Linked DNA regions of Cricetulus griseus. The protein of the gene in region 4 purifies or fractionates together with the protein of the main gene of each other region. This does not show direct contact. Links are inferred from orthologs where the notes say so. Each region holds a gene or a part of one and is shown on either strand. Other genes may lie near its edges.

Region 1 (4,293 bases), on a different chromosome or scaffold from region 4:
AAAGGTGCTTGCTGCCAAACCCGACAGCTTGAGTTTGAACCCAGGAACTAGCTCAGTGGAAGGAAAGCACTTGACTCCTGCAGGCTGTCCTCTGACTTCCTATACATCGCAAAATAAGTAAACAAGTGTAAAGAAGCTTGGCGATGTTGGCACACGCCTTTAATCCCAGCACTCTATCTTTCATTTTATTTTACATTTTTTTTTGGTTTTTCGAGACAAGGTTTCTCTGTGTAGCTTTCCTATCCTGGCACTCTCTCTGTAGACCAGGCTGGCCTCGAACTCACAGAGATCTGCCTGCCTCTGCCTCCCGAGTGCTGGGATTAAAGGCGTGCACTACCAACGCCCGGCTCAGTACTCATTTCTTACTTAGGTTTTCAGTTTTTGTTTTGAGATAGAGGCTGGCCTAGAACTCACTTTGTATACCAGGCAGTTCTGCCTGCCTCTCCCTTCGGAGGTCTGTGACCATTATGCTTCGTGTGTACCATTATGCTTCGAATTACAGAAACATTAAGTAGACTTTCTTTTTAAAATGTATTTGAGTGTTTTGCTTTAATGTATGCACACGCACATCTGGCCCTGGAGCCTGTGAAGGTCAAAAGAGGCTATTGAATTCCCTGGAACTGTAGTTATGGATGATTGGGAGCCCTCATGTGGGTACAGAACCAGGGTCCTCTGCAAGAGGACATCGTCTCTTCAGTGCCTCACATACACTTTAAAAGAACACTTTAAGTAGATTTCTGCAGGAAACTTACCAAAGGGAAATGGGAAATTGGAAATTGTGTTTTCTTTAGGCCCGTGCTGCTTTTCCTCCAAGGTCCCAACTATTTGCCAGCGACAAATGACCTCAGTATCAACTCCCACAGGACAGTTTTATTTAAAGGTTTCTGACTCAACGTGCTAAACTCAACTGCTTCCAGAGTCGTTTCGCCTTTGACAGTGGAAGTTAAAATACCTTCTTTATCACGCTCTGGTGAACGCCAGGGCCGTTCGAGACGGGGAGGTGTCCCGAACTCGCTGCTCTTGCGTTGAGTCCCTGGCTCACTGGGTAAGCCGCATAGCAGGGAGCTTGTGCTTTAAGACTACCGAAAGCTCTGGAGTGCGGTGCGCTGGATGACCGACCCGCTTACACCCTGGGGACGCCAGCGACGCCCTTTCCCTTCCTCTAACCCCGAAGCCAGAAAGCCCTCAAACAAACAAAAACAAATTCAATAGACAGCCAAACCGTCCCACTAGCGAGGGAAAGCGCGCCAATCACACAAAGAAAAGGAGGGGGGCGACTGGGATTCAAAATCGTTTCTCCGGGACGTACATCCTCCCGGACCTATCGGAATTAACTGCGCGCTTGCTCAGAGCCAATAGACCCCGAGTTTCTGGTCCGGGGCCCCCCTAACGACGGATGGGCAGTCCTCTAAGCCAATGGAGTGGCGCGACGCTAAAGGCTCGGCCAATGCAGTCGGGAGGTGGGTGGAGCGTAGGCCAGGGGGTTGGCGGTGCCGTGTCATGGAGGCTCAGTCTCGCAGCAGCCATTGAAGGGGAAGGAACTGCGGGCGGGCGCGCGCGTGTCTCTCTCTCTCTCTCTCTGTGTGAATGTGTGTGCGTGCCCGTGTGTGCGCGCGCGGGTGTGTGGACTAGAAGGTGGGGGCAGCCGAGTTAGTCCCAAGTCGTCGGACTCCATTTGCTATTCTTTTCTTTCTCCCCCACACCCGGGTGGTAGTGGGCGTTCGTCTTTGCGTCTCTTTTCATTCATCTCCAGACCTTTAGGGGTGTTTTAGGGTTGGGGGCAGTGGGGAGGGCAGGCGAGGGGAAAGGAGGAGGACATGGAGATGAAGAAGAAGATTAACCTGGAGTTGAAGAACAGAGCCCCGGAGGAGGTGAGATGACTCAGCCCCCACCTTCCCCTCCCGCCCTGTGTCGCGAGGGGTGGGCTTCGGTGGTCCCGGTGGGTGCGCGGGGCGGACTGGGAAACGCGCCCCCACTCGCGGTGGGGGCGGGGTGTTTATTTTAAGTTTTAAATCGCCAGGCTTCTTGTGCTTAAAATGGCGAAGGGCTTAAGTTTCTAGGGGCATTTTCCCGGGCGCGCGGGGGCTCAGCCCCTCGGCGTCCCCGCAGTCTGGCGGCCCGGCCTCGCGGGGGCGGGCGGCGTGGGCGCGACCCCCGGGCCTTCGCCACCTGCGAAGTTGGTGTAACTTTCCCGCGGTGCCGCCATTCGGCCGGCCGCGGCCCGGGGCGTGGGTCTCGGGCCGATCTGCACCCTGCGCTCCCTCCGGCGGTGCCCACTCGCGGGCGGCGCGCGCCGGGCCGGCGCCGGCGCCGGGCCCGGGCGGCGGCGGAATCCCGGGACCCGACGGCGCCGGCCGCGATCCTCGTGGCGCGCGGACCTCTCTACGCAAGCCCGTGGCTCGTGCGAGCCGCGCAGTGCCGTGTGCGGTCGTCGGGAAGACTCGCGGGCTGGGAGGGGCCCCCGGAGGCGTCGCCTTCGAGCCCCCCGCCGTCGGGTTCCCTTGCGGTTCCCGCCAGGTTCCTGGGTCGGAAGCTTGGGCCGCGGCGGGCGGTGACGGCGCCTGGGGCTCGCCGGTTCGCGGCTGCTTGAAGACGAGGGACAAGGGACCGGCGCTACGGTGGTCCCTTGACGCCCTAGCAAAGGCGCCGGTCTGCCCGGCCTTCGCAGTCACCGTGCAGAGCTACCCGTGCCTGAGCCCTGTTCTTTTCTGTGGCGGGTTTGCGGGTTTCTGCCGACTTCAGCCGAGAGCGAGGTGGAGGAAACATTGTTTCTGTAAGGGTTATTATCGCTGGGAGAACTAGAAGTTTTCTAGAGCTTTTTAGAAGATTCTGGAATAACTCAAAGTTAAAAAGCTGTCCATCAGCAGGGCATGGTGACTGATACCTGTAATTCCCAGCCTTTGGAGGCCGAGGTAGGAGGATGGCTGCAGGTGGGACTCTGTCGAGCAGGGCAAAACAAATCAAAACAAGCAGTTTCTCATAAGCCTTAGGTGCAAATGTGGGCCTCTTCCCGCATCCTTTCGCCTCCAATTTGGAGAATTGCGGGACATTGCCATGGTGTAGTAACAGGTTTATATAGACAGTTTATTTTTATTTATGTTTTTGGCTTTTTAAGACGGGGTTTCTCTGTAGCTCTGGCTGTCCTGGAACTCCCTTTGTAGACCAGGCTGACCTTGAACTCGGAGATCCACCTGCCTCTGCATCCCAAGTGGGCCACCACTGCCCGCTATATGGGCGGATTATAAAGTGCCCAGTTTACTTTCTCCTTGGAAAACTTGTAAACTGGGTTGTATTGTTTTAGAATCCAAATTTGCAAACAGGAGTCCCAAGACAGTGTAGTGGCGTATTCTGGCGGAAGAACTGGGTTTCTGACACTGGATGTACAAGGCCTCTTGCTGAGCTCTCTTAGCCCTGGATAAGACTGGAATCCAAAGGCTTAAGAGGTGCCTGGCGTGATAGTGCACGCCTTTAGTTCAGTTCTATAATCCTGACACTCCGGAGGCAGAGGCAGATGGGTCTCTGAGTTTGAGGCCTATCTGATCTACAAAGCAAGTTTCTGGTCAGCCAGGACTAAATAATGAAATGCTATCTCAAAAACAAATGAACCGGAGGGTGGTTTCACACACCTTTGGTTGCAGCATTCACTTTTAATCCCAGGGTTTGCAGGCACAGATATCTGAGTTCGAGGCCAGGCTGATCTACAGAGTGAGTTCCTGGACAGCTAGGGCTACACAGAAAAACCAAAACAAAAAACAAACAACGCAAAATAAAAAAAAAAAAAAAAGGCTTAAGAATCAAGACACCCCACCATACTGAGGGTGTGACCTATTAATGCAAGTCATTTTTTTTCTAGACCTTGGCTTCCTGGTCTCTAAAAGGGATGTTATGGTTCCATTTCTGCTCATTGGAATAATGATTGCCAAAGTTACACCCAAGTAGAGAAGATGGCATTTGTTGTTCCTGATTTTTAGCCTTTAAATAAACATTTTTGTACTGGGGACAGAGAACCAGGATCTGATTAGGTCTATTCAGGTGCACTGGTAAGTTTGTTACTACATCTGGGATCTGGGGTTGGAGTGATGCTCAGTAGTCAAGAGCACTTGTTCACATGGTAGCTTCCAACTGCTACCATTCCTTCTTCCACCTCGGAAGGCACCAGGTATGCATAGAGGTATCCATATGTAGGAAAAACACCTGTACACATAAAATAAAAATAAGCCTACAACTCAGATCTAATAAGAAACCCAGTTCTGAGCTGGAAAGATGGCTCAGGAATTAAGAGTACTGGCTGGT
Region 2 (3,500 bases), on a different chromosome or scaffold from region 4:
GTCACCAGAGAAGCAGCTATACCTCTGGAAGCTGTAAAAAGAACTAATTCCTAACAAATGAGAACATTGTGATGCGTTTAAAATGGGGGAAAAAAATCACAAAAGAATGTCAAATATGGGTCTGATCAAGACACTAAAAATTGTGTCAGTATTTTACGTCAAACTATAAATGAAGATTCCAGAAATGAAAGACGGGGATTCTCACCGCAGAAGTTTCATCCAGAAGTTGCCTAAAGTGCTCCCTTTTCTTTTTGGTAAGTGCTTCAATGTGTTCATTAAAAAGCTTCTCTTTCTCCTCTCTCTCCAATAAGGACCCAGATTCCCAGCGGTGATCTTTCCGGAGGGTCCTCCTAGTATCAGACCATGACACATCGGAAGAACGTACCTAAAAACAAAGAACAATGTGTGTGTGTATGTGTATGTGTGTGTGTGTGTGTGTGTATTTGGTACATATACACAAACCCCACCAAGTGGACTCTGCATATTTACACATTAAGAAGCTCAACACTGTAGTCAGGAATGATTAACTTCATCTGGGCTTTACAAAGGTAGTCACATTTAAAAACTAAAAAACATTACCTGAAAAGCAATTGATCCATCCTTTCAACTAGACTACCTCAGAAATGAATCCTGTCTTAAAAGACCACATTAAGTACAACGTTCAGTAAGTGAATTTGTTCAGGTGATTAGCTTACCATCAAGTTAACCAAAAACTAAGCAATGGTACATTTCCAATAATTTAAGCAAGAAGGTTATGGAAGTACCATTTTAGTTAATAAGTCTCCTAAAACCTACTGTAGAACAGAAACTTTAACTCCTGCTGATCAATTACATGATAAAATACTCAGGCTGGGGTGGGGGGTAAAGATGATAATCACATCATCTTCCAGTCAGGACCACTAAGAAGTCTAAGTAGTACTTTGTCTCTAATTGTGTCAAGTAAAAGAAATGTTAAGTGTCTTTTATCACTAAATATCCACCCTCCAAAAAGCAGTACAACAAACCCTGAGCTCAAATCTGGACTTATTAACCCATCTACTAGAAGAAACATTTCTAACCCACAGCAAAAGGTCATAATATATAGAAATTAGTGAGCATGACAGTGCACATTCATAAACAGTAAGGGTAAAAAGAGTATGATTATCTCAATACATACAGAAAAACAACAAAATTCAATATTCTTTCATAACAAAAACACTTGAGTAGGAGCCAGCAAGATGGTTCAATAGGTAGGTGCTTACTTGCCAAGTTCAATGACTAGGGTCTAATCTCAGGAACACACATGGTAGGAGAGAATACACTCCTGAAAGTTGTTCTCCGAGGTCCACACGTGCTGCATGGCCCAAGGTCACACATGTACTTTTACAAAAATAAATGTAAATAGACTGGATATAGGGAGAATGTAATCCAGTACAATAAAGACCATCCATGAGGAGTTACAGATGATCATCTCCAAGAGTGAAAAGTTGAACATTTTTCCTCTAAGGCATGAGGTATTAGGAAATCTTCTCTCAAAATAGTTCTTTTAGAAGGCAAGAGGAAAAAGACATCTAAACAGGAAGTAAGAGTTTAAAATGACTCCAGTTGCTGATGACATGATACTACATACAGAAAAACCTGAAGATTCCACTACAACACTATTAGAAATGATAAATTTAGTAAAGTTAAGAGAATACAAAAACAACCATACAAATGTAAGATTTCACAAGTAACCAAAATGTAAAGTATAAGAAAATAGCATATGCAACAGCATCAAGGCCCTCCCAAAAAATAGTAGTATAAATTTAAGCAAGGAGTAAATAACTAACACTGACAAAAAAGAAAAACTTAATAAAGTACAAACAAGCTGAACGATATTCTGTACTCACTGATTAGAGAAACAGTTCTTAAATTCCTATGGAGTCACAAGATCTTAAAAGCCAAGACAATCTTGAGCGCAAAGAACAAAGACAGAAGCACCACAAACTCTCATTTCAAAATGTAATTATAATACTAACTTTGAAAAAAAAAAAAGATAAAGTAACAGCATCACAGTTTCAGTTGGTTCACCAACACCATCAATGGCACAGTACTATACACAATGACAGGAAATAGAATGAAAAGACAGAAAAAGAGGAAAGAAGAAAAGAATACAAATGTCTTTAGCATCTAAATTATGTGTTTGGCACCAGAACTACAACTAAGTAAAATAACAACTGTCATTTCTTTCAGAATTTGTATTTTCTATAGGGCAAATGTATTCAGTGTGACAGTGGTGTATGCTCAACACAAGGTGCTATAGGTAGGGGCACAGCCTTTAGGAGAGGTGTGTTTTGTCTGGTTAATTATAGTGTTTCCTCCTGCCTTTGCCTCCCAAGTGCTGGGGCTAAAGGCATGTGCCATCAACGCCCAGCCAGTATGCACTCTTCAAGAATAAGAGTGTGTCACTGCGGTGGGAAGGTGAAGGACTGTCACAGACAGAAGAGTGCTTCCCTATGTTAAAGAAAGCTGCACACCAAGGCCTGAGGAGAGCAAGTGTGATAGATAAGGAGCAGACAAGTCTACTTTATATAAGTAGCTGAACTAGCTAGGTATAGTATGGTGGTGCAAGCCTGTCAAGGCAAGAGGACCAGTGTCCAAGACCAGCCTGGGGCAACAAAGGAAAACCCTGTCTCAGAGAAAACCAACCAACAAAGGAACTGAATTTTAAAGCAAAATAAAAAACAATAGAGTTGAACTTGACTGGCAGGCAACGGCTGGGAGTATGGAAAGTCTTCACCTAGTCAAGTAACCAGGAGACACAATGAGGTTTGCTCTTCACAAAACCACTACAACTGCAATTAAAGCAAAAGACTCAGAGAATGGCAGGAAGGAAAGAGATTTCAAACTACAGAAAATGTCAAGGATGCAGAGCAAAAAAAAAAAAAAAAAAGCAGCAGAAGCAAGGAAGAAGTGAAGTGACAGTAGCAGGGAGAGTCCAGCTAGTACAGGAGACAGTATAGGAAAGACAATGACGGAAGAATGACACAACAGAGCAGCCCCAATAGTCAGTTTCCCTACATATCTCAACAACTCTAGGGCTAAGGCAGGACTTCCAAGAAAGTCGCAGAGTCATCTCTTGGGTCAGTACTCTCTAACACTGTATTTCACAGCATCCTTATCACAATGATCCTAAACTAGTGGTTCTCAACCTGTGGGTCTAGACCTTTTGGGGGTTCCTACATCAGATATCCTGAATATCAAATATTTGTATTGTAATTAGTAACAATAGCAAAATCACAGTTATCAAGTAGTAATGAAAATAATGTTATGTTTGGGGGTCACCACAGCATGAAGAACTGTATTAAAGGGTCGCAGAACTAGGAAGATGGAGAACCACTGGCCCTAAACCATCAAGAAAAAAGTCCAATTACACCCAGCACACTTTATTTCAATGGCAGGTATATAATAGTTTCAGATGGCTTTCACCAAAAACTATCTTAAAAATTAAGTTTTGAAGTATGAACTTTCATTTTAAAAAA
Region 3 (4,071 bases), on a different chromosome or scaffold from region 4:
AAAGCCAACAGTCCATGTATTGTCATGCTGAAATTGGGGGACCACCAGAACTTTTCATCTTTCAGCATCGTGAGTTCGATGGCCTCAACTCTACAAATCCCACTTTTTCTTATTTAAGTCAAGGAGAAATGGCCATCTGATGACTTGGAAGAATGTCTTGAGTCCAAGAAACAGCAGAACTGTAAAGCTGAGCCCTTGTCCACCTGTTATCCCACAGCAACCCACTAGAAGAGCTGACATGGCCCCAGAGCCATGTCATCTCAAGAGAATGTGTGAAGCACGAGGGCATCACACCTCACTTCAGGCTGGAGGCATCAGGCTCAGCCCTCCGCCTTGCCTCTCAGCCTGTGAGAGCACGCTCTGTGAGCACGTGGAGCCTCGGGGCCGCCCGCGCACCCTCCCTCCAGATGTAGTCCAGGCCCAGATGGGCCCGCGCAGGGATCCCCAGCACAGCCACCTGACTGATTGTCGGAGCGTGCTGCGGCCCGCTGCTTGTGCCTCCGCCGGCGGCGCTGCGGCCAGGGGAAGGGAAGGGAAGGGAAGGGAAGGCACCCAGGAGCGCACTGCGGCCATTATCCACGGCGCCTCCTAGCGGCTCAATGGGGAAGCCTCCAAGTTCTCGCGAGAGCTCCCCAGAGTGGGGGTTATATAATCTCCCCAGGCTAGGTTGGGGGTGCTGAAGGCACCCTCCGGCGGGAGCAGTGGGGGTCGGCGCGGCGCGCGGCCGGAGAGCGGTCCCCCGAGGGTCCCGGTGCAGGGGGCCTGGCCCCCCGCCCCCCCAGGAGCTGGACAATGAGTCCTCTTATGCTAATGAGGGGCTTACGTCACTTCCGCTCTTTCTCGGCCGCCATTTTGGCTAGGGCAGGTTCGGGGACTCGCTCTGAGGCGCTTGTATTGTCTGCTGAGGGGAGACGCGGGACCAGCCCCCTCCCCCGCCCGCCGCCGCCGCGCCGCCGGCCCGTCCACCCGCCGCCGCCGCCGGGACCATGAGCTGAGCGCCCGCCCCCGGCCGCCGCCATCTTGGCCCCCTCCCCCTCCGCGCCGCCGCCGCGCCGCGCTCGGGGGGATTTGGCGTCTCCTCAGACACAGCTCCCTCTCTCGGTCCCCGCCGCCGAGGAGCCGCGCGGCTGTGCCGCCCGCCGGCCCGCGACGGTGAAGCCGCGGCCCCACGCCCTCCGCCGCCCTCCGCCCCTCCTTTGTCTGCACTGCCCGCGCCGCCGCCCGCCGCTCTGCTGCGCCCGCCGCGCCCCCGGCAGCAGCCGCGGCCGCGGCTCGAGCCGGAGCCGGAGCCCGAGCGCGACGAGGCCCCGGGCGCGTCCTCGCCGCCATCGCCGTGCCGCCGCCCGCTCGCCGCCGGGCCTCGGAGCACGCCGGCCCCGCGCACGCCTCGAGGCCGAGCCAAGGTAAGCCCGCGGCCCTGCCCTGCCCGGCCCGGCCCGGCCCTGCCGGCCTCCGGTCCCGGGCGCGGTCCTCGTGCTCCGCGCGCACACTGCCCTCCACCGGCCTCTGCCCTCCACCTCCTGCAGCCCGACCCCTCTCCGCCCCGAGAGCCCGCCGGCCGGCCGGCAGGCTGGTGGCATCTTCCCGCACCCACCCCGCCCCCAACAGGACCCCGCTCTCTCGGCCCCCAAACTCATCCCTCGCCCCCTCCCCCCACGCCCGCCCTCGGTCCCCGGAACCAGCCTTCTGCCAGGTCTGCCCACCCTAGGCTGCGGGGGAGGGGAGCGGCCTGGGGGGCGGGGAGTGCATGGCACGGAGGGAAAGTCTTTGCCACCCCGACAACATGCCTGCTTCCCTCCCATCCCAACAAGCACAGCCAGCCCTTCGCCAGCCCGGCTCTCGCTCCCGGCTGCCTGCTCAGCACTACCCTTTAGAGCTTTCTGATACTCAACTTTGCAGTCAGAAAATGGAAATCCAGAAAGCCGCGAAAAGCTTTTTGTCGAATGCAATGAATGGGGAGTAGTTGTGAGCACCCTCTCATTCACCTCTTCTTTCCTCTGGGCTGCCTGTCCTCGTCCTCAGCCACCCACCCACCCCACCCCACCACCTGGATGCCTGTCTGGTAGAAAAGGCGCGATTGCTTCTCTTCCTCTTGTGTCCAAGATCGGGCTTTGAAGTCTAACACCCGTTTTAGCTTCACTCCCTGCCACACACCGCAAGTGTCTTCTCAGTGTTCTTCAGTCACCAACCAGTTCCTCTGGACAGTTCTTGTCATAACCCCATTTCACAGACAAAGGCTTAGGAGGGAAAAAGAACCAAACTGTTTCCTGTGTTAGCCATTTTAATACTGTCCAACCCCAAACGCCCAGTTCCCATCCCTGATGCTTCTTGTGCCTGTGTCTTGAACCTTCAGGATGGGGGGGGGGCCTGTCTCTTGGATAGCTTTGTGCAGTTTCTTTATAAATCTGCATTGTTGCTTCTGGTTTATGGCCATGAAGAAAATACCAGCCCCCACCCAAAATGCACCGCAGCCAACTCGGTTAAAGGCAATGAGTGTTGGAGTCAGTAGGGGGCGCATTCTCTGCACTGGGTAAGGCTGCAGAGGGGGGAAGGGCCCCAGAACTGGAACAGGATGTGCTTAACAGCGCCTTCTACAGACCAATCGAAAATGGGTCCAGCAAGACTTGCACTTAGTTGAGCTGACAGCAACATGGCGAAGGATGAAGTGAGCCTACAGAGAGATTTTTATTTAAGAAAGCCACATCATCGTTTGGAAAGTTTTTACTTGTTCCAAACTGTTCACCCTCAGACTTTGGTTGCTGATCAGTCACCTTCATGCACATCCTTAGGTCATAGGTTCCCTTTCTCAACCTTCAGGTTTGGATGCGTCAACATCTCTTTCCTAGGCCAGATGGTAAAGGGGGTGTTTTAAATCTGAAAGTAATGGGCTTGGGGTATCACTGGTCAGTCCAAATCTCTCCAGCTCTTTTGAGAGTGAAAAGTCATTTTTTTAAGAGGTTTTTATGGGGTGGTGATTTTCATAGCCATGAGAAATGGGTGTCATGATTTGCAAGGCTTTGTTGGTAAACATCAGATCCTTATTGAGTTCTTCATTGTCAAACTTAATAGAGTTGATTGCAAATTTTTGTTGCCTTCCAACTTCAGTCTTCCAGCAGTGTGTTCTGTCGGTAGCCAACTGCCTTTGCAAGTGTTGACACCAGGCTTGGTGTGCACCACTTTCTTAGGGTGTGTGGATTTCCGTAGATTTTACTCCTGTTGTTATTTCCATAGGTGTGAGATGCACAGTACGAAACCTAGGCCCCAGCTTTTACACCGTGATGCACAGGGTTGCACTTTTTGTACTGAGCTGATAGGTGGCCTAGTGGTTATTCCCTGTACTGCCATTTTGAGGATCTGGACTCCGTTCCCTGCCTTGCTCTTTGGACTACATTGTCAATTCACACCGGTGGGTATATCATTTTGGAGGGTGGGTGCTGAAGCATCAGGGAAGCCAGATACTTCCTCCTTGGTCACCACCAAAATGTACCCTTCCAAAATTTCAGCTTAGCCATATTCCTCAAGGAACCAGTTAGAGTTGGTTGCAGTAGTAGAATTCTGAACATGTTAGAAATGTGACTCTTTTAATAGAGAGAATTTTAAAGTTGATGGTGTTATAGTCATTTGCAGTCTGTACTGTTGGGCATAAAGTTTTAAGTAAACTCAAGACTTGCTAAGCTTCTAAGAGCCTTAATTTCTTAACTTGGTTAAAGGGAGTTGGGGGCAATGGGTCATTGATAGAGATCAAGATTAGCCTGGTAGGAGTTCCTGCACTTGTTCTTGCTTGGGAAGATTGACAATGGGTGTTGATACCTGTGGATACTTTATCCTACTATTACAAACATCTTACATAGACATGCCAAGATAAATTTATGGGATGCCAAATGGATGTGTATGATATATAGTTTACCATTTAGTGCTTGAAGATTTTTTTTTTCTTTGTTAGATGGTTGCCACAAGGTAACTTTTTCTGTGTGAAAAGGAGGCACCTTGGTGCCAGTATTGCCCTGAGAGACTGCACTGGATTCACATTTTATGTATTTATATATCTTTAGTATTTACAGAATCCATTAT
Region 4 (2,509 bases):
AGGGTACTAGTAGGAGATGAAATAAAACCAGGGAACACTGAGGTTATTAGAAAAAGATCACTGCCCTTTTAGTTTAGAGGTCATTTTGAGGAGACTGTTAGCTTTTAAAGATAAGGATGCTGCACTGCAGGATCATGTATGCAGCATGATACATTAGAATCGCGCTGCACTTGACTAAGGGAAAAAATCCCTAAGTAACATTTAAATACGTGTTATCTGCCAGTCACAAAGAAGAAAAGCACCTAGGGTGAACTCCAATTTACCAGGACCTTGATCAGGACCACAAAGCCTGAGTCTTGTAATGCAGTAACACAGCCTCTAGTCACACTGGTTTAGAGAAAGTAATGGGTTCTATGTTCTTCTGACTCTAACTGAATTTTAGAACATGGTTTTACTAAGGACTTTTATCTTCATACCAGTGTTAAAACTGAACTACTTCCAAGAGACATAAAACCAAAGAGAAGCAGAAGCCATACACATTAATCTGTGCTCCTCTCTTTCTGCTGTAAGGGAATCTGCCAAGCCAGTATCACATTTAAAAGTCAAATTGTTAATTCTTCAGCATTCCTGACAACTAGAAGCACATTCACTGAAGGCTGAAGGTGAGGGAGTGGATGGTTTAACTTTAATATCTGAAGAATGACTCCATTAGAGGAAAGAAAACCATCCTATCTCAATAAGGATTAATGCAAATTTGGCTAGAAAAAGCCACCGGGTACTCCAAGGGTTGGTTCACTGTGGAAGAACTCGAGAAGGTACTCTGATGTATGCACAAGTCTAAGTATCTCCCTTGTCCAAGTAGTTGTGTAAAATTCAAGATAAAGGTTTTAGTTTTATCTTTAATGTCATTTTCCCCACTTTACGGAATGAGGAAGAGTCCTCTTTTCCCCCACAAAAAAGGGAGCCACATTAATATGTGTATATCCCCATGACTCTAATATTAGTGCGGATCTCCAAAGCTTAGGGATTTTTCCATAAGAGAGTGGGCCATTCTGGTTACCCTTGTAATAAAAGGGTATTCCACCACAGAGAGCCAGAGGTTTTCCAGATGTGTGTAAAAGAGCAGGTGCGCAAGGCAAGCAAATGAGCGCAAACAGTATTATGGAAAACATTTGAGAAATTAGCTCCATGAGGACTGTGGGCTCCACAAGAGGACTTGACTGGGTAGCCTGGTCTGACACAGGAACAAGAAAGCAGAGGATTGCTTCAAAGCTGGAAACCTTCCATAGGAGCCTCACACTGCTGGAAGATGTACTGCTGCTGGCTAAGGTCAACCTGGGGTGTAATGCTGCTGTCCTCATCTTCGGTCCCAAAGTAATGCTCAATAAGATCAAAAGCCTTTTGATAGATCTCCTGGTTTTCATGACTCTGCAAAAACTCTATTTTATCCAGACCTAAAAAGAAGAATAAGAATCTTTTTGAAAATCCTAGTTAACTACATTTTCAAGTCTATTTCTTTGATATAAACATTCTCACATATCTTGTATGCTCATATAAAAATGATTACTACTATATCTGAATGCTAATATTATAAACCAACATCTTAGTAACAAGCTCTGTAACAGCCAGTATCACCCAGTACCTACTATATTCGTGTTTTTATATGCCTATGTCTATTTCCTAACTCCAAAGGCTGACCCAGTCTAAGTATCTCACCATATGCTTCTTCAATCAAAGCACAGTAAGGGTTAATGCCTGAGCCATTTCTTTTGGCTTCTTGCTCTCCAAGCCTCAGGATGTTCTCCAAGCCATTGAGGGCAACCTGTACAATCTTTGAGTCCATGACAGTGAGGAGATCACAAAGTGGCTTGATACAACCCAGTTCTACTAGGTACCTGGATAACAAACAACAATAAAACACAGTTTAGTCATACTTAACTTTGTTAGGTTTTTATCTGTGAGGCATCTTCAAGCTTGTTGTAGAAATAAAAATAAACTGTAACTATGGCACTTTAGGGAGGAAAGAGTTTATTTGTCTTAGAAATTCCGAAACCAAGGCAGGAACTCAAGCAGGGCAACAGACTACTTACCAGCCGACACTTGTTCAGCTACCTTTCTTACACTACCTCCCAGGACCAGCTGCCAGGATGACACCAGCCACAATAGGCTGGGCCCTCACCTACCAATCATTAATCAAGAAAATGCCACACAGGCTTGCCTACAAAACAGAGTAATGAAGGCATTTTCTCAACTAGCTTAGGTCAAGCTGACAGGAAAAATAACTAGCACAATAGGAGTGGGGGCACATGTCTTTATCTTACAATTTAGGAGGCTGAGGCAGGTGAATCTGGCAGCTGGAGGCCACACTAGTCTACCTATGGAGTTGCAGGCCAGCCAAGGCTAACAAAGTGAGATCCTGCCTCAAAATAATAACAATTTTACTACATTTATCGACTGACTGGTCGATTGATTAGGGGCATGTATGCCATAGTATGCAAGTGGAAGACAGACAAAATGTGTGAAAGCTGACACTGTACTTGCACAAAGTAAGTGCCTAGAACTCAAAAAT
Region 5 (4,168 bases), on a different chromosome or scaffold from region 4:
AAGATCCGCTTGGAGGTGGGGTGGATGTCACTGGGAATCTTTGTCCCTCTTTCCAATGTGGCCATCCTGAAAGTCATTTCCTGCTTCCCACCACTCATTTGGCTTTTTTACTTAATAGGCTGAACAGTGTTGGGGCACAGGCTCATGGCTACCCGAGTTTCAAAACAAAATTACTTCATTTTGCTTGATTTTTCTGACAAGCATTTTCACAAAAAAAACTCAAATATCTAGTGAAGGAAAATTCAATTTCATAATTTATCACTATTACATATTGTTAACACTCATGCTTTGATTTCATTAATATTAGACAGACACCTGGACTTGGAAATATTAACAAGCCAGAATTGTCGGGACTTTCCACTGTGACCATCTAAAGTTACACACACACACACACACACACACACACACACACACACACACACACACACACCCATGGCACACACACCCCATGGGCTGGAGAGATGGCTCAGCAGTACACACACACACACACACACACACACACACACACACACACACACACACACACACACACACAAAATGGGCTGGAGAGATCACACACACCCAGCAGTACACACAGAAGACCTGGGTTCAATTCCCAACACCCACATAGCGCTCCAAATGCCCTGTCACTTCAGCTCCAGGACCTCCATTGCCCTCCTGCCTCCAAGGGCATCCAACACGCATATGATGAACAGTCGTACATGCAAGCAAAACATCCACACACATACATTAGAAAGGAAAAAAATACAAAAGCACGGTTGTCCTGAGGCCGGGCGGACGAGATAAACAGGTCCATTTCCACTTTGGCCCAACTGACATTAACAGTTCATTTCCACAAAGAATGCAGCTACAGGACCTGTTGGTACGGAGTTGTTTATAGCTTTTGCGTCAAAAACGTTAGAGGAAGCGGGTATTGTCTGGGTGGACCCCGGAACCTAGGAAACCGCGGAAACCAAGCCCAGAGCCTGCGGCGCAAGCGCGAGGCCTGGCTTCAAAGACCGCTTGAGGAGTGGCTTGTGCTGGTCGCTTTTCAAAGTCACACACATGCTTGTTATTTTTTTTTTAACGTCCGGGTCCCACAGGCATCCCCGCGTCCCCAAACGCCCCGAGGCTCGCCTCGCCCGGATCTCGGAAGCCTCGGTTCAGTTCCCACTGCACTGAGCAGCCCGTCCAGCTTTTGTTTATTTTGGCCGCGTGCGCCGGGACGAGCGTCTGAGGGCGGAGCCGCGTCTCCGACGACGCCCGGCCGCGACGCCCCGCCCCGCCCACTATCCCCAGCCCCGGGCGGACACTGAGCGCGGCGTCACAAAGCGCCGCCGGAACGCCGAGGCTGCGGCACAAGGCGCCGCGCGGCCTCTCAGGGTGGCGGGAGGCAGAGTCGCCTCAGCCCCGCCTCGGCCGGCCGGGCGCGCCCTCTCTCCGAGGTGGGCGCAACCGCTGAGTCGCGCGCGTCTCGGCGCCGCAAGGCATCCTGGGAGGAGGGGCCCGCGCCGGAAGGACGCGTGAGCGCGCGGCGGCGGCGAGGTTATAAAAGGGAGCGGGCCCGCGGTCGCCGGAAGTGGGCGGTTCGTCGGCGCCGTGCTCTGTTGTTTGGGGTTTGGGCCGCCGGAGGGGCGTTCTCCGGAGAGCCGCCGGTGCAGGCCGTGCTGACAGGACCGCTCGCCGCCCCGCCGCGCCGCGCCGCGCCCCGCCACTTGGCCGCCCTTCGCTCCGTGCGCTCGCGCTCTCCCCGTCCCGCAGGCCCAACATGGCGCAGGAGGTGTCGGAGTACCTGAGCCAGAACCCGCGAGTGGCAGCCTGGGTGGAGACGCTGCGCTGCGAGGGCGAGACGGACAAACACTGGCGCCACCGCCGCGAGTTTCTGCTCCGTAATGCTGGGGACCTGGTCCCCGCGACGCCCGGGGAGGCGGCGGACGCGGAAAGTGGGAGCCGCAATCGGCAACTACAGCAACTCGTCTCCTTCTCCATGGCCTGGGCCAACCATGTCTTCCTAGGGTGTCGGTGAGTGAGCAACCGTCGCCAGCCAGCCTTACCGGGCTCCCCTGCTGCTGCCCGAGGAGCCCTGGCGGGGACCAGAGTGGCTGGCGAGGGCGGGTCGGAAGCGCGGGAATCGGTGGCACTGTTGGTCCTCGGAAGGCGCCCATGGCAGCGCCGACCTAACTGTTGGCGGGTACCCGGGTTGGGTGAGCCCGGCAGCTGGAGTTGTTAGCGTTCAGCTTGGCGGTACCGGGGAGACCCTCAGTTTGAGGGTTCGCGAGCACAGACCCGCCTCCCGAGCCCCACGGTATTTGTGGCATCTCAGCAAACAAAGTTGTCGCGCGGTTGGTGCCACCAGGAAATGCAGTTTCCGTGGGCCCGCATCTCTGAACGCACTGCCGGGCGTTCCGACAAACACTTCTTGAAAGCGACTTTTGCTTCTCTTTTTCAGGTACCCTCAAAAAGTTATGGATAAAATTCTTAGTATGGCTGAAGGCATCAAAGTGACAGATGCTCCAATCCATACCACACGAGACGAACTGGTTGCCAAGGTGAAGAAAAGAGGGATATCGAGTAGCAATGGTTAGCAGATCATAGATGTGAACATACATAGGAGTTTAGAAAATAAGCTTGCTGTAATTAGGAATTGCTGTCATTACTAATTTTTAACAAGCCGGAATTTGTATAATGTATTAATCTAATTGACATGATAAAGCTAAATGTCTGTCTGTCTTGTTTTCAGTGCTGAATTCTTTAGTTTCCTTTGCTTTAGATTTTAAAGTCCAATGTCTGATGCTGTTAATATTAGAAATTAATCATGTTAATACTGTGTTTAAGATACTCATGAAGAACTGGGCAGTGGTGGCGGACACCTTTAATCCCAGCACTTGGGAGGCAGAGGCTGGCAGATTTCTGTGAGCTGGAGACCAACCTGGTCTACAAGGGCTAGTTCCAGGACAGCCTCCAAAGCCACAGAGAAACCCTGTTTCGAAGAGGAAAAAAAAAAAAAAAAGATATTCATGAAGTTATTCCATATTTTAAAAGAAGCTAGTCCTGAAATATTTTTCTGTGTTTTCGTTGTTGAAATCCAGTATGAATAGTCATGTGACCCAATCCACTGATTCCAAACAGCAGAGTGGATCACTTAAAAAGAGTGCTTTGGAAGCTTCTTCAGTCTCAGCTTCTCATGAAGTTATTCCATATTTTAAAAGAAGCTAATCCTGAAATATTTTTCTGTGTCCTTTTATTACTTTTATTTTATTTTGGTTTTTTATGACAAGGTTTCTTGATGGACAGTGATGGCACATGCCTTTAATCCTAGCACTCAGGAGGCAGAGGTAATTGGATCTTTGTGAGTTCCAGACGAGTCTGGTCTCTAAGAGCTGGTAGTTCCAGGACAGGCTTCAAAGCTACACAGAAAAACCCTGTCTTTGGGGGGGGAGGGGGGAAGGGTTTCTCTATGTCACAGCCCTGGCTGTCCTGGAACTCACTCTAGACCAGGCTGGCCTCAAACTCAGAGACTCAATTGGCTCTGCCTCCCGAGTGCTGGGATACAATCTTGTCCCACCACTGGCCAGCTCCTCCTTGTGCTTTCTTAATGAATGTTTTGTTGATTGACATGTATGTGGGTCTTCTAGTGAAATACCTGTGTTTTTCTTCTTTCTAGAAGGGATAGAAGAGCCATCCAAAAAACGAGCCATAGAAGGAAAAAACAATTCTGCAGTTGAGCGAGATCATGGAAAGAAATCTGCCAAAACAGATCGTTCCTCAGCTCAGCAGGAAAACAGTTCCGCATCCTCTGGGTCATCCACCAAATCAGAGAGTAGTGGGGCCTCAGCTCGGAGCAGCTCCACAAGTGAAGGAGATAGATCTGTGTGCAGCCAAAGCAGCAGCAATTCCTCTCAGGTAACAACAGCTGGGGCTGGAAAAGCTTCTGACCCAGAAGCTCCAGATAAACATGGCTCAGCATCGTTTGTTTCTTCGTTGTTGAAATCCAGTATGAATAGTCATGTGACCCAATCCACTGATTCCAGACAGCAGAGTGGATCACCTAAAAAGAGTGCTTTGGAAGGTTCTTCAGTCTCAGCTTCTCAGAGCAGCTCAGAGATTGAGGTGCCCTTGTTGGGTTCTTCTGGAAGTTCAGAAGTAGAGTTGCCATTACTGTCTTCTAAGTCTAGTCCAGAGACAGCTT
Region 6 (3,500 bases), on a different chromosome or scaffold from region 4:
GGATCCTAACATTAGTATATACTCAAATAAAAACTTTGCAAAACACTCACGACACATTCATAGTAAATATGACTGCTTCCTCACTTGTATTCTTTCCACCCTTATTCTTTGTACCCGAAAGATATAGCACACTCACCAGATCTAAGACCAGGGAGAACTCTGGTGTGCTTCTTGTTTTCAAAGGAAGAGCAGGTTTCCTATTTAGCTGTTCTTCTGTCAGTGGTGGAACATGCTTGATGAAATAATAGCTATAAATCAAATTTTAGGAAAATTTCAACATTTCTGTTTCATGTATTTCAAACACTACTAAACTTAAATTTTAATTAGCTTGGGATGTGGTCAGCTACACAATTCTTGCTATACAATACAATGTGCAAGACCTTGGGTTTAATCCCTACAGTACAGCTTGTCTTCATTATCTATCCCACTGGATTGTTAGATTGGCACAAAAGGAACTGCTATGTCACTCAATTTTAAATTGCTGTAACTAGACTCAAACACATCTTAATTGATCCCAGTAAGAACAATCAATATGTTTTCGACTACAAGGACTGTTTGCTTTTTTCTATCTTTCATCTCCTGAAGACCAAAGAAATAAATCTGTTTATTCCTATAGTGCTGCAGTTCTCAGCCTGTGGGATGTAACCCCTTTAGGGATCCAATGGCCATTTCACAGGGGTCACATATCAGATATTTATTTACATTATGATTTATAACAAGATTACAGCAATGCATTAATTTTATGGTAGGAGATCACCATGATGTGAGTAGTATTAGGAAGGTTGAGAACACTGCTCTAGTGTAAAACATCCAGGCTTCAGGATTCTGAATTCTCTGCATGCTGGTGTTTGCAGAAATGTTTACCCTGAAAAAAAGCTATTTTGAAGTCCTATGGAGATTTCAGCCTATCTGCTAGACTGCAGAGCAGGGATGTAATGCTTTTGTCGAGGCTCAGGAATCTGTGTGATCAGGTTTGGTGGCAACAGACAACCAAACCCTGACCATGACCTTTTTTTGGTGTGTTTGACTTTGGGGAGGGGCTCTGAAGCTTCTTCTCGTCCAGACCCTGGGTTCATCTGCCAGTTGTGGTATACAATAGACCTCTCTTTACCTGTCACAACTGACAGGGAAAATTCCTTGAAGCTTAAAATAAGGGAGGATATCGGCCTAATATAACATTTTTTTCTTTTCAGTCACTTCATAAGGCACCCGCTTATCAAACCTTTTTACGTTTCCAATTTATTTCTAATACCAAATGACCATTGAATATATAGTTACTTAGCAACTTCCTATATAACTGTAAGAGATTCATGAGCAATGATTGATCTCAATTGGTCTTTGTCAACTTCTGCTGTCCAGCCACTAGCTCCTTCTCGAGTCTCCATTGGAAAACATCATGAACCACCACTGCACTGTATGTTTACTAACAATTTCTAGGCCAAATATGCTACTGATAGAGCACATTTTGAACTCAAATAAGAAAATGGCTTGAGCTGGGTGGCACATGCCTTTAATCCCACCACTGAGGAAACAGGAGGATCTCTGTGACTTCAAGGCCACCCTGGTCTATAAAGCAAGTTACAGGACAGTGGGGCTACAGAAAGAAACCCTGTCACAAAGAAACTAAACAAACAAAAAAATAAAATGGCTTTAATTTGCTTTTTGTTTCGTATCATTTCCATAGTATAAAATAAACAGTATGGGCCGGACATAGTGGATCACACCTTTGATCCCAGCACTTGTGAATTTGAGGCCACCCTGGTCTACATTTCAAATTCCAGGCCAGCCAAAGCTACGTAGTGAGACCCACCTAAAAATAAAAAGCGTGTATTAATAAAGAAATGTACATTAAAATGATTTGTAGGATAACCTCATTTATTTAAGTATTCCAATATCAGATATATTTCAACATTGCAAAGATTGCAAATTACTTTTGTACCAATCTAACAGAATCACCTAGAAGACAGACATCTCTGTGTGTCTAAGGGTGTTTCCTAAGACATTTAAGCATGGGCAGCACTGTCCCATGGGCAAAGGAGAAAGCTAGCAGCACAGAACATTCACTACTCTGCTTTCTGATAGCAGACACAAAGTCATCAGCAGGGCTGGAGAGATGGCTCTGGCTGTTCTTCCAGAGGTCCTGAGTTCAATTCCCAGCAACCACATGGTGGCTCACAACCATCAGTAATGAGATCTGGTGCCCTCTTCTGGCCTGCAGGGATACATGTAGGCAGAACACTGTATACAAAATAAATAAATAAATCTTTAAAAAAAAGTCATCAGCAGCTGAATACCCCTATCTGCCACAGTTAGCAGGGTCTCACTGCCACAGTTCCTGCTATGAGGGACTGCATCCTTAACTTAAGATACTAACCAAAACATACCCTTCCTAAGTTGCTTCTTGTCAGTTACAGCAATGAAGCAGTAACTAATTCAACACTTCACCCAGTAAACTAAATTTTGAAAACACATAAGTAAAAGTATACAGATTAGTGTCTCCAAAACTCACTTATAAGTATTATACCCTACCTACAGGTCAAGCTCTTATCATGGGATTTATCTCCCATGTTTACAACAAAAATAATGTAAGTTTAAAAATGCATATGATATACCTAGACTAACAAATATAGTACTAACAGAATATAAAGCCTAAGTTAAACAATGCAGAACATCAGCTGTCTGCCCTCGTGAGAACACAGGATAAGTCAGAGATAGAGTTCTCTGCCCAACATGAAAGAGTACCCTGCTATGTACTGCCACTTAGGAAAAAGTTGAACTTCAAAATTCAAAGTACAGTTTCTACTGGACAAACATCATTTTTCAGTTCCATCATGAAGCTGAAAATCATTCAAGAAAGAAAATTCAAGAAAGAAAATTTAATAACTACAAAACAACTCACGGGTCAAATACTTCCCAGTCTTCCTCATAGGTGGCCTCTGCATGGGCTGAAGAGTAACCACTCTCTGGAGTTACTGGTGCTATTTAGTAAGAGGAAAAGAAGATTACATTCACTCATCAGAAGTTTCCGACAAAGTACACATTTTTACTGTCTTTATACAAGAGCTTCTTGAGGTCCTGTATATTTTAGATTAAAGATAAATAATTTATCAAGATTTAAGATTTAAAGACATTCAGTAAAACAGATTTAACTCTATATCCAAAAGAAATTACTACTATCAATGACATAGCAAACTACAAAATGGCTAGTAGAATTAAGATTTCTATCAGCTAATCGGAAATCTATTTATTATTACTGTCTAATAATTACTGTCATTTTCAGCAAGAAAAATGAGCATAAAATGAATGTGCTAGCTAGTTTTTTGTTAATTCAACAAGCTAGAGTCCTTTTAGAAGGGGAAACCCCAATTGAGAAAATGCCTCCATCAGAATGGCCTACAGGCAAATCTATGGGCATTTTCTTGATTAATGACTGGTATGGGAATGTCTAGTGTACTGTAGGTGGTGCCATCCCTGAGAAGTTTCATATAAAAAACAAAGCT
Region 7 (4,067 bases), on a different chromosome or scaffold from region 4:
GTATGCCCCCTGCTTATGTGATAACTCAGTTCATCTTGACAACTCAGTCACCAAGATGGCTTCAGCACATGGCTAGTTCATAAGTCCAAAACATTTCCATCCTTCAGTCATATATTTATAATTCAAATATCATATATTTACTCACTACTTACTTAACTTTAGCAAAAATCTAGTAATAGACCCTTTTATTTAAAATAATGAGAATTCTTTTCCAAAAGGCCCGTTAGCAAGGATAAAAAACAAACACTTCTGGAAACAGAAAGATGGCTCTGTGGTTAGGAACATGTGTTGCTCTTCCAGAGGACCTCGTTTCCCTTCCCAGTACCCACACAGTGGCTCACAACCACCGGTAACTCCAGTTCCAGGAGATCTGATCTCGTCCTCTGGCCTCTGGCCTCTGTAGGCACTGCATCCATGTGAGACACAGATGTACATTCAGGCACAACAATCACACACATAAAACAAAACTTAAAAAAAAACCTCTTACTTCTATCACAGTTTTCTATTGCTTGGGCGGCTTGTGATGGTTTTAAATATCGCACGTAGCCCAGACCTTTACTTTCTCCAGTGACTTTATTTTTAATAATGCTGCAATACTCGATGTCACCATACACCTACAAGAGTTAAAGCCAAATTTTAGGACAAAACCACTTGGAGGAAAAACCTTTCCGTGAATGAGTACAATGTCAACATAGCACAGGCCATGGTAAGTATTAGTCAACATAGCTTACCTGCTCCAGCCTGACTCAGGCCTGCGACTCACTCTACAGAGAGGCAAGAGAAATGAGAACCAAGAAGTGCTTTGAGATTTTTAAAGACCCAGGGCAGGTTCTGGGGGCACAGCAGGTTTAAATCTTGGCACCACCACCTATTAGCTGTGTGGTTTTAATGAAAACACCCTGGCTTTGTACTTTACTTTCTCAGCCTATACTTTAGGATGAAGTCTGGGCAGAGGGGACACTCGCTACTACTGCGAGTTGTTAGTAACTGTACAGTGTTGAAAATGGAGTTGTGATAAGAACACACACACCTTAAATTTCTCCCGTAGGTCTTCCTCTGTATAGGACTTTGGTATCATAACGAAGATTCTTGTGAGTTCTTCATCTTCAACATCTCTGTGACTTCCTGATGATCGGGACTGAGCAATGAAAACCTAAGAAACATACAAAGCCCTCAGAATAATGTTAACTGTACTCCTATACTGTACTCCCTGCACTCAGGAAGTCAGGCAAGCAGATCTTAAGTTCAAAGCCAGCATAGTCTACATGGGAAGACCCTGTTCCCCCCAAAAGAAGATACTATAAAACAAAAACAAACCAAAATGCAACTAACAACTGGGGTATTAGTATAAATGACTAAGTCAATCTAGTCGATGCATCAGGAATTAAGTATCCAAAGGAAGACACAAGAGAGGCTCCAAGAAAATGCAAACATTAGAGGAAAAAAAGGGGCCACGGGGAAAATGAGATCAGAGGAGCCATCAGATCATAGATGTCTAAATTTTAGAGTTTAAACTGTTTACAATCTTTGATAAAGGCTTGGATCTACACAAGACATGAATCACTACTTGTTCGCCTTGTTTTCACACGGTTTAACTCCTTCCCTATCTGATACACAGCATCCTGGTGCAGAAGTGGGAGAGACTCCAACCCAGCCAATTCTTGTAAAACCAACGCCAGAACTCCCCCAACCCCTGAAACGTTTGCCCCTCTCTAGTTTGTAGCATAGCTTGTCACAAAATAATTTTACTTTGATAATCTTGTGAGTACAGGCTGGTACTGTAATATCCCTTGAACTTTGTAAAAATAAAATACTTGAGAAAAAAAAAAACACTAAAACTAAATTATCTAGTAGCAAAGGTTAATCAAAGTGTCCGAGAGAGGTGGGTCAGAAACGTTCTCCCAATAGACAGGAAGAGGTAGGGGTCAACTGAATTATGGTAAGTGACAGCCATGGATGGCTGCGCTGTCCTTGGCTGTGGCTACCCAATCTGTTCCCAGGGGAAGATGCTCCTTTGGCCACAGGGCGGGGTTCCTCTCCTCCTAGCCATTCCAGACCCATGCATGGGCGGGGTTCCTCTCCTCCTCTCCTCCTGGGAGAGCTCCTGGGAGCAGATTCCAACTCCTTTACTACCTGATACACATCATCCCGGGTGCAGCAAAGGTGCGGGAAGAGACCCTAACCCACACCGTCTTAGCCTCCGCTGACACCCCAACCCCTGGCACCTCTACCCGAGACAACCCCAACCCGGGCACCCTTATCCCAGACACTCTGACCCGGGCATCCCTACCCCAGCTACCCCAACCCGGGTACCGTCACCCAAGACCCCCCAAACCGAGCATCTCTACCTCACACACCCTAACGTAGGCACCCCAGTGCAGCACCTTGATGGGCTTGGTGTCATTGGGGCCAAGGCACTGTCCGTGCATCTCCTCCATAGCCCGGCAGGCCTGTGAGCTTCGGGCGAACTTGACGAAGGCGACGCCCTTGGACTCCTTGGTGTGTTTGTCGCGCACCACCCAGATGTCCTGGATGTCTCCAAAGGGCGAGAAGCGCTCCCTCAGCACCGATTCGGACGTGTACTTGCTGATCACCAGGAAGATGCGGCTGTTGGGCGGCTCGTCCAGGCTGTCCACGCCGGGGCGGAAGCCTCCGCTGCCCGCGGAGCTGCTGGAGTCCTCCATGGTGCTCCACCTTGGGGAGGGAGCCAGGCGCGGGGCTCCGCCGGCTCAGTCAGCCCGGCCGCCAACCAGCCGGCCGCCGCGGCCGCGGGTCCACAGCTCCGCTTCCGGAAAGCCCAGAGCCCGGAGGCAGGTGCTGTCCCACAGAGAGCGAGGCTGGCTTCCGGGAGCATTCCGCAGCGCCCCCTGGCGCCGCGGGGGACTCTGAGCAGTCCCAAATCTCAGTCCCATGGAAACCAAGAATCAGTTTGTGCAAGCTAGGTTGCCCTGTTGCCAAAAAGACCCACCTGCCAGATGCTCAAGCCTTCCCAAAGCTGGTTTCTGGCTTCTTCTAAGCCCAGAATGTGTTGTTACAAAACGATTACTCTTCACCCTTTTAAAAGATAAACTGGATGATGCGGTGACACATGCCTGTTATCCCAGTCTGTCAGATTGCTACATTGGAGGCCTCACGGGCTACATAGTGAGTTCGAGGCCAGCATCTGGGCAACACTCTATTTTCAAAAAGAAAACAAACAACAACAAAAACACCAAACCAAAAATAAATAAAAAATTGGCAGACTTCACTCTTAAGGGTTCATGGTGACAGGAACAAAGGGCCAGTGCAATGGCTCTTGGAGCAAAGGAGAGATACTGGACTTGGTTCCCGTAAGAGAAGTGAATATTTATGACAGGGTAGTATGAAAGTCATTAAATGAAAAATTACTGAAATGGGAGGGGATAAGAGGGACTCTTGATAGATCTGCTTCACAGAATTCATGTTGCAGGCAGGCCAGAGTGACAGATATTAATAGCAGTGAGGCGTCACTGCCCTGATTTATCAGAGACATGGAAGTTTGGAAAAGTCAAACAGAAGACTTGGGGGAGTTTGAAGTTTTGATGACAACAGGGAGTCCTTGTCACCATTTTGACCATAAGCTCAATTTAGAGTCACTATAGACAGAATTTGTGGCGGTTTGAATAGAAATGACCCCCATAGGCTCTTATGTTTGAATGTTTGGTCATTAAGGAGTGCTGCTATTGGAGAGGAGGTGTAGCCTTATCTGAGTGGATGTGGCCTTGTTGGAGGAAGTATGTCACTTGGGGTGGGCTTTGGGAGTTTCAGAAGCCCAAGCCATATCTACTTGTCTGCAGCCATGCTTCCCACCATGATGACAATGGACAAACCCTCTGAAACAATAAGCAAGACCCAATTAAATGCTTTCTTTTATAAGAGTTGCCATGGTCATGGTGTCTCTTTACAGCAATGCAAACCTGACTAAGACAGTTAAAACTATAGAGCCTGACAGCTGAAAGGAGCCTGTAAGGCATGAGATCCTAGCCTCATTCTTTAGAGATGAGGAATCTTAGGCCCAAAGTTAAGAGGCTCAAGTAACAGAACCAGGC

Evidence for each region.
Region 1: the proteins of importin subunit alpha-5 (region 4) and Anp32e purify together in Homo sapiens (affinity purification with mass spectrometry; 4 studies listed by BioGRID and IntAct, with this or other methods). This does not show direct contact. The link is inferred for Cricetulus griseus from reciprocal best matches to the Homo sapiens genes KPNA1 and ANP32E.
Region 2: the proteins of importin subunit alpha-5 (region 4) and Tcerg1 purify together in Homo sapiens (co-immunoprecipitation; 3 studies listed by BioGRID and IntAct, with this or other methods). This does not show direct contact. The link is inferred for Cricetulus griseus from reciprocal best matches to the Homo sapiens genes KPNA1 and TCERG1.
Region 3: the proteins of importin subunit alpha-5 (region 4) and Adnp purify together in Homo sapiens (co-immunoprecipitation; 3 studies listed by BioGRID and IntAct, with this or other methods). This does not show direct contact. The link is inferred for Cricetulus griseus from reciprocal best matches to the Homo sapiens genes KPNA1 and ADNP.
Region 5: the proteins of importin subunit alpha-5 (region 4) and Cdkn2aip purify together in Homo sapiens (co-immunoprecipitation; 4 studies listed by BioGRID and IntAct, with this or other methods). This does not show direct contact. The link is inferred for Cricetulus griseus from reciprocal best matches to the Homo sapiens genes KPNA1 and CDKN2AIP.
Region 6: the proteins of importin subunit alpha-5 (region 4) and Ctdspl2 purify together in Homo sapiens (affinity purification with mass spectrometry; 3 studies listed by BioGRID and IntAct, with this or other methods). This does not show direct contact. The link is inferred for Cricetulus griseus from reciprocal best matches to the Homo sapiens genes KPNA1 and CTDSPL2.
Region 7: the proteins of importin subunit alpha-5 (region 4) and Rbm45 purify together in Homo sapiens (co-immunoprecipitation; 3 studies listed by BioGRID and IntAct, with this or other methods). This does not show direct contact. The link is inferred for Cricetulus griseus from reciprocal best matches to the Homo sapiens genes KPNA1 and RBM45.

Annotation. Positions count from the first base shown.
Region 1 is NW_023276806.1:60,586,061-60,590,353, reverse strand, and holds the start of Anp32e (acidic leucine-rich nuclear phosphoprotein 32 family member E), read left to right. Parts: upstream 1-1,493; 5' UTR 1,494-1,817; coding exon 1,818-1,871; intron 1,872-4,020; exon of another isoform or gene 4,021-4,040; intron 4,041-4,293. UniProt on the Homo sapiens protein: Histone chaperone that specifically mediates the genome-wide removal of histone H2A.Z/H2AZ1 from the nucleosome: removes H2A.Z/H2AZ1 from its normal sites of deposition, especially from enhancer and insulator regions.
Region 2 is NC_048595.1:195,373,784-195,377,283, forward strand, and holds part of Tcerg1 (transcription elongation regulator 1), read right to left. Parts: intron 386-3,500; coding exon 206-385; intron 1-205. UniProt on the Homo sapiens protein: Transcription factor that binds RNA polymerase II and inhibits the elongation of transcripts from target promoters. Regulates transcription elongation in a TATA box-dependent manner.
Region 3 is NC_048599.1:11,176,957-11,181,027, forward strand, and holds the start of Adnp (activity-dependent neuroprotector homeobox protein), read left to right. Parts: upstream 1-1,271; 5' UTR 1,272-1,403; intron 1,404-3,265; exon of another isoform or gene 3,266-3,406; intron 3,407-4,071.
Region 4 is NC_048597.1:53,639,384-53,641,892, forward strand, and holds part of importin subunit alpha-5, read right to left. Parts: intron 1,836-2,509; coding exon 1,657-1,835; intron 1,395-1,656; coding exon 1,207-1,394; 3' UTR 1-1,206. UniProt on the Homo sapiens protein: Functions in nuclear protein import as an adapter protein for nuclear receptor KPNB1. Binds specifically and directly to substrates containing either a simple or bipartite NLS motif.
Region 5 is NW_023276807.1:39,004,121-39,008,288, forward strand, and holds the start of Cdkn2aip (CDKN2A-interacting protein), read left to right. Parts: upstream 1-1,368; 5' UTR 1,369-1,747; coding exon 1,748-2,001; intron 2,002-2,428; coding exon 2,429-2,559; intron 2,560-3,643; coding exon 3,644-4,168. UniProt on the Homo sapiens protein: Regulates DNA damage response in a dose-dependent manner through a number of signaling pathways involved in cell proliferation, apoptosis and senescence.
Region 6 is NC_048599.1:56,446,588-56,450,087, forward strand, and holds part of Ctdspl2 (CTD small phosphatase-like protein 2), read right to left. Parts: intron 2,979-3,500; coding exon 2,900-2,978; intron 249-2,899; coding exon 137-248; intron 1-136. UniProt on the Homo sapiens protein: Probable phosphatase.
Region 7 is NC_048599.1:98,661,896-98,665,962, forward strand, and holds the start of Rbm45 (RNA-binding protein 45), read right to left. Parts: upstream 2,801-4,067; 5' UTR 2,685-2,800; coding exon 2,349-2,684; intron 1,154-2,348; coding exon 1,031-1,153; intron 615-1,030; coding exon 488-614; intron 1-487. UniProt on the Homo sapiens protein: RNA-binding protein with binding specificity for poly(C). May play an important role in neural development.